Drosophila melanogaster: one gene and its partner. The protein of the gene in region 1 purifies or fractionates together with the protein of each later gene. This does not show direct contact. Each region holds a gene or a part of one and is shown on either strand. Other genes may lie near its edges.

Region 1 (3,758 bases):
CGTACTCCCCTCTCTTTCGGAGACACTTAGTCCCTCTCATTCGCACTTTCAGTCGAGATCGCTGGAAGTGGGCAATGTTCGATGGACTTTTGTTGAGTTCAGGGGAGGTGGGTGGTGGGTTAAAACTCCCCGATCGATAGACCACGCCCACTGGCAAGCCGCTAATACGATTTCGATGGATGCGTCTGTGTGAGTGATCGCTCTCATTGATCGCTCTCGTTTGCATGGGTAGCTCTCAGCCAGCTGCTCTGCATTGGTCAGCGAAACGAGAACATATATGCCGGGTATATAACTCGCCCGATGCACGGGAGATGGCCTTATAGTCCGGTCTCGTTTTCGCCCACGGCAAACGGGATCGGCTCGTTTATCTAAAACACCCGACGACGACTGCAGCACGATCCCGTTTTGCGCTGGTGTTAGTGGATTCCGCTCTCATGAGCACGCCGCTCTCTTTACCGGTTGTCTGTGTGAGTATACTGGATATAACGGTGCTCCGATTGTGTTAATCGAGCCAATCAAATGTGGTAACGAATTCTTCGAGTAGATATATTCACGAGAGTGTGTGCCCTGTGAGTGAAGCACTCAAAAGCCGCACAAAATGGTGAGCGATTGAGAAAAACAATCGAGTGCAATATTCAAAGTGAGCAACTGGAAAAATAATGATGTATTTGGAGGCAAATATTGTATATTGTATTGTATCTTATTTTTTTGAACTAATCAAGTATGTTATATTGTTAATTTACTATATACCACATTTGATCAGCTTGCCATAAATATTCCCCAGTTATATAACATTGGACACTAAATCAACAAAACTATGTTCCTTAACAATCGTTAAATTTATTAAATTATATTATATTTATCTAACGAATAAAATTGATTATAAATAAAGTAGAAAAAAGAAAAAGGAAATACTTAAGATTGGTCAAATTAAACAACACGCTAAATAGACTTAGATTACATCTTAAACGACTTATATTTGTTCGCAGTTACTAGGAATTTATTATTATATCTTAACCGAGAAATAAACTGTGCAATTTATATATATATTGCAAACACGACATGCATTTTTTTCTAAATTTGTTGGTGCCTTTTCTATAGTTATAGTTCGTATTTATGTTAGTAATTATACGTTTTTAATATATGTTCATATGCATTTACTCAGTTTCAGCTTGATCTGTGAATACAACTCAATAGCCGAATCGACTCGGATTTGAGTTAACATCACTCAAACAGCGGCTCACACAGACAGGCAATTTGAGTCAAAGTCGCTCTTTTAAGTCTCACTCTCGCTCTCTCTCTCCCTGGTTGTCTTTCGGTTGGGGGTTGAGAGTTCGGGTGTATCACCGTTAGAGAGAATCGGAATCGTCTTCTTCCTCACACACACAATCGCACCCCAGCTGGGCTCGAGTTTGTCGCTTTTGCAGTCTTTTGTTTTTGTTTCGGTTTCTGTTACTGCTTCTTCGACCAGTTTGTAGTTTTTGTTTATAGTAGTATCATCTCCCCGGCCAGAGATATTGTTGTTGCTACTTCTCTGGTAGCCGAAGTCTCAGCTCAGTGTGCTACCGAGCGTTCGTCGGATGATATTGCAAAGCATCTGAGTCGCCGAGTCGCAGCGGTGTGAGCACTTTGCAGAACTGCTTAACATCAGTCTTTAGTGATAGCTCGCGCTTCTTGCTCGCACGCTCGATCGCACGTCGCCGTCGTCGTTGCGTCGTCTTCGTCTTACGTCCCAGGCGTTACGTTGTTTTGGCCGCCGCTAAAAATCAACACATGCAAATTAAGATCAAAAAATTACTCAGTTAAATAAAATGAATTGTAACAATACTACGAATATGTATATGTAGTGCCAACTGAAATAGTAGAGTTCAGTCTGTAACACGTCACTGCAAAAAAACTCAAAAGCGGCAAACGAAAGCGGAAATAAAGAAATTTACGGCAAGTGCGCGTGCGCAGCCAGGAGTGCCCTCACACAAAGGTGTGGTCACTCCATAAAAACTCGCATTCAAAACACAGAAGGCGTAAAAACAGCACCAAATAAAGTCCCACGGAAATATCTCTAGCTAAATTAAAATTTAACCATACTGCAAAACTTTAAAACTTTGTATTACAATAAAAATTATACAAAATATTGCCTCCTTGTGATATATGTACACCCTGCTATATGCAAAAACACACATACTCAAACAACCCAAAAGATATATATTAAACATGCTTCACGCTCGCCTAAAGTTCTAAAAGTCAAGTGCAATTTGAGCAAAAACAGCAACAACTCTATACGCTCAAGTGACGTTTTATTGGCGCAAGGTGAACAAAAAATAATAGCAAGCAAATACACGAAAATACACAAAACCTTAAACGGAAAGTTCACAATGTTAGGAGACGCAGACCTTAAGTGCGCAACGAAATAGAAACACTAAGCAAATAAATTGGATTAACTTGATAGGCTGATCGGTCAGTAAAAGCAGGTAAGTTCAAAGGTTCAATGGCGCCCTCAAAAAAAAATATAGAAGAAACGGAACGAACGGGCTTTTTTGAGACACATCCATCATGCGGACATAAAAATGGGGATAGAGATGGGGCTTCGGAGTTGTAGATGGGGAACATGTGAATTTCATTAACGAATAGAATTCATAAAACAAAAAAAATCAAGATGAAGATGGCGACGCCAGATAACGCTTGACAATCCGACTAACTGACGAACTGTCTACGACTGTCGGCGGGGTTTGTATGATTTAATTATACAAACCATATACACACTCCCCTATATGACACTTATACGACAGCCCAGTAGGAGCTATAGCCCCCAGCTACGGTTTTGTGAGAAAGTTTTCTCTGGCCGATCTTTGTTGACCAGTGCACTTTTTAGTGTGGCCATAAAACATGGCTAGATCAACAACAACAACCATGCAAGGGCAAGGCAAATAAACTTTACGACTATATAACAGAATCAATGTAAGTCAAGTGCGAGCGAGATGGCCTGCACAGATATAGTCGCCGCACATGTTTGCTTTATAATGCAAATAGCGTGTATAGCTTTATTTGCCAGAATATTTGTTACAAAAATTCGAAAACGCAGGCGAAATCCATGGGAATGGCATTAACTGCGGCACTGAAAGAAATTATTGCGCTCAATAGCGAAGGAACTAAATGGAAAGTGGTGCTGCCTAATCCATCAAGGATCAAAAATAATTATTTTGATAAAATAATTCTTAGAATATTCAAGCTGGAAATTTGTGAACATTTTAGTTTGCTTGATGCTGCAGCTTAAATAATAATTTATATAATATTCTATTGATCAATGAGAAATGCCTATCATCTAACTATATTTACAAAGAAGTGACTTTTCAATTAGAAATAAAGTGATCATTCATTTTTGGAAATTCAGAAGATTTGTATCTAAAAAACTGATAATTTTTTAAAGTGCATTTTGCCCTGACTCGCTTGCAGGCAAATGAAGAATCTAACTTGGATTGCTTTTGCATGTGTCGCAAATATTGGCAGAACCTATATACTCGCACTTATGGCGAGTGCCTTGTAAGTTTGCCATGTTCTACAAATCGCAGAGTGCGCACTTATTCTAGTTAGCTGGGGCAATCTTCTTCACTGGTTGATTTAGCTGGCACCTTTTAAGATCACAGCTCTTTCCTGAGGCTGTTCCTTAGACCAACACTCTAAAAAAAGGTATGCACCTAATGCAAAATTGGATATTTGGATATTATTATATTACACTGAAGTCCCAACGATTTAGTACAAAT
Region 2 (3,758 bases), on another chromosome or scaffold:
AAAAAGCAGCGTGCCGACTGTGATGAAAACAAAAGAATATCTGAAAAATATAAATTAAAAACAGATAAAACAAAACTCAACAATTTGTGTAAGTAATTTAATTGTGTTTATAATAAAATATGTATGTAATCAAATTGGTGCTTGTTATTTATTATTTTTAATAATTATTTTTTTATTATATATGTATATATTTTTTTTACACAAAAAACCAGAAAAAAATTGGTGCAATACGCTTGAACAACTAATCTCAGCTTCATTCTCTAACATGTATCAAAAAAAGATGTTTACTGTATTTATGTAATTCTGTTACATTTAAGAACCGTCGTCAAAAAAGAATTACATATGTATGTCAAATGATGAATATTATATGAATTTATTTTTGCTGTGCAAAAGTGCAATCCGTTTGCGCGCAAAAAGAAACACAAATATATAGTGCAACTACAACAACAACAACTCAAGGCAAACCATTTAGTCAGCGCTGCGGCAGAGCGTGAGCAGCGATGCCGGCAGAAGACGGAAATACCAGGCGAACGATGACGAACGTAAAAACTACGCACCAAGCACAATAACAACACCAAAACACGCCACGAAAAACAAACAAACAAGCAAGTAGAGCGAGCGAGATACATTTGGAGAGAAATACGTAGTGGGGGGAGAGAGAGAGAGAGACAGAGATAGAAGTGGGAGAGCACCTGCCCCCAATGTACCGCCCACTCGGCTAACGAGCAAACAAAACTAAACAAAAATAAATAGAAACCGAAACAGAAACACAAGAAAGGCAGTGAAATAGAAAAGCAGGAAATATTTCGAACTTATGAAGTGCGGAGAAAAGAGAAGACTTAGAGCTTTGCATTTCTATTATTAATAAGTTTTCAGAAAATCCATTTGAGTGCACAGACAGTATTAACAAGGTAGTATCTAAAATAGAAATAGAGTTCTGGAATATTTTTAAAGCTATGTTTTTATGAAAATTACTTACTTTGCATACACACGTACACGTACATATTATTAAATAGGTATAATTATAATTATTTTTTATAATAATACTTTTACGAATTGGGTCAAATCTCACATTCATAAAATTATTTAATAAATAACTCAGCGATTTTAGTAATAAAAATCACAATTCTATTATGAAGTAAGACCGCATTCATTGAACTTTCTTTTGTTTAATTTTTTTGGGTCTTAGGAATTTTACTACGACGTAGTAGACATTTCGTGTCATTTTGGCGCGAAGCAGATTGTGATTATGGCTTTTTATTGTTATTTTTGTTATTTTGTCTCGACCTCGGTTCGTTCAACTCGTTTTTTTCACTGAACCGCTCCTGTCTACTTGTTTGTTTAATTTTTTGCCATTTCTGCTTCACATTTTATTTGTTTGTTTGACTCGGCTGCGCGCGTGTCGTTGTATGTGTGTGCGGCCCAAGAAGCGGTCCGCCACCCCTCCCCCTCTCCAGCCGACACCCCCTCACCAACCGACCATTCATCCCATCCTATCCCCCCCCCTTTTGTTGTTGTTGTTGCTGTCGTGTTTCTTTTGCTCTTTATCAAAACAACTGCGCTGTCGACGTCAACGCTGCGCCGCAGTCAGCCTTCACACAGCAGAGGTAACAAAGAAAAGCACGCATGATGCACATCAAATATATATCACTTACGTGATGAGAAAGATTACCAAACATTTAAGTAAACGGAGTTGTTCATTTAATAACAGACAATTTAATTAAGTTTTTGTAATTTTTGTATTTTTATGGCAACAACTGTTTTGGCAAAGAGAGCAAAAGCTTAGGTAAATACTATTTTCTTAGCCGCTCCTGTATGTCTGCCAATGTTTTTTTTTGGCGCGCACTGCACTGCTCTCTCTCTCTCCCGCAATAACTCTCTCCGCCGCTCTCTTAACCCCCCACCCACCCTCAACCGACGTTGTTGTTGCCTTAAGCATGACAAGGCACTGTAGAATTTCACAACAGGCCAAAGAGAACTTCATTACGATGTTCGTTTTGTTTTTCCACGAAACAACTGTTTACTCTGCCTCTGCTTCTTCTTCTGCGTCGGCAGCGCAGTCGGTGCGTTTACAAATCGATGCCAATAGGTTTGCGACTGTTTGCCCGAACAGTCGACGAAATCCGGTACTCGCGAGCGGTTGTAATTAACGGTAAAGCTGTAGTTGTTTCGATGAAATATTGCGCGCGTAACGGGAAAAATACGGAGCCGTAAAAGCGCAACAGCGCCTTTGAAATAGCGGTAAATATCGACAGTACGTGTGTTTTTTGCGTGAAGGATGTTTGTTTTCGTCAGAGCCTCCTTTTTGCTTGCCAAACAAATAACGGAGAAGTGATAGCAGAAACCAAAAATATCGAATTATTTTCTAATTCAAACGGTATTTATGGACGGGAATATCAGTGTGAAATATTATTCCCTTTTTTAGAAAAGCGGCGAAAACTGTAATGTACGCAATTAAGTTATTATCAGCATAATTCTTTTAAAGGGCATAATTAAAATAAAGGTGCATAAAAATGAATGTAGTTCAAAACTGTGTAAACGTATCAATTAAATATTAATGAAAACATCACATATGTACTTAAAAATTTAAAAAAAATTTAAGTATGGATGTTACCTAAAATATAAGAAACCTACTTTCAAATTGTGAGACAAAAATAATTGTTTACGAATGGAAAAATCAAGTAATCATTGTGAAACTTAAACTTTAAAAATATTTTCAAAAATATTTTTTAAATAAAAACCATGTATCGAAATACATCAAATATGTTGAAACCCCTGGAAAACCTTGTGCAGCTTCGAAAACAAATATTTATGTTGGTTTAATAAAGAAAGAAACACCCCTAATAAGTCAACAAATATTTAACAAAAAGTGTTTTTCAAATTTATTTCAAAACACATATAGCATGTGCGTTCGCGAGTGTGTCTGCGTTCGATTGTAAATTGTTTTTTATTTCATTCCGCCCGCCTTGAAATGTATTTTTAAGTTTCTGTGCTCAATTTCGCGTTGGATGTTGTTTACTTTTTGCGTTGTTTAATTTGTTTTGGCCTGTGTTGTGTTTCTCTCCCTGAGTTTCTTCTTTATTCAAAATGACAAAAGGCGAAAACAAACTAAATTGTGGATAACATGGATTTTATGCAAATTCAACGTTTTCTGATTCAGACCTTTATTTCGGCAGCGCTGTTAAATGAATTCAAAATGGTCGAAGAAATCAGTCAAATAAAGCGTGAAGTATCAAAAAATCTGTGCAATCAAAATGCTTCGTTTTAAGATCAATTAGATTATATAACTCTCAATATTAAAATCCGAAGCAAACACACTACACTACAGAAATTCAGCAAAGTTCAGAAACAATTAAAGTAAAATCAAGAAGTTATGAACAACACACCTTATTTATAAATAAACATCCAATAAAATGGCAACCTAAGCATTTCCGTCCTGACTCACATTACAAGACAATAAAAACGGTGACATTTAGAAATTCCTGATAAATTCTCCATACAGTCGCACATTTTCTTGGTAATCAAATAACAAATCAAAGCTTCGAGACATGCAAATTAATTTTGAACGCAGAAAAACCCAAATTCTACTATTCACAATCAGTAAACAACAAGAGTACAAATATAAGACCGCAGAATTCCAAGAAAATCCCTCAAAACTGTGCTACTTAAAAATACCACGAGGTCGCAAACGAAATGCAAGGAAAAAACAAAAAAAAAACAGCCAAAATGGCATTTAGAGTATTTCCAGCTTAAAGCTA

Evidence for each region.
Region 2: the proteins of knrl (region 1) and CG5953 purify together in Drosophila melanogaster (affinity purification with mass spectrometry, with the first as the bait; one large-scale study listed by BioGRID). This does not show direct contact.

The regions. Positions count from the first base shown.
Region 1 is NT_037436.4:20,618,452-20,622,209, reverse strand, and holds the start of knrl (knirps-like), read left to right. Parts: upstream 1-1,550; 5' UTR 1,551-2,468; intron 2,469-3,758.
Region 2 is NT_033779.5:16,531,204-16,534,961, reverse strand, and holds the start of CG5953 (uncharacterized protein), read left to right. Parts: upstream 1-2,084; 5' UTR 2,085-2,241; exon of another isoform or gene 2,242-2,503; intron 2,504-3,758.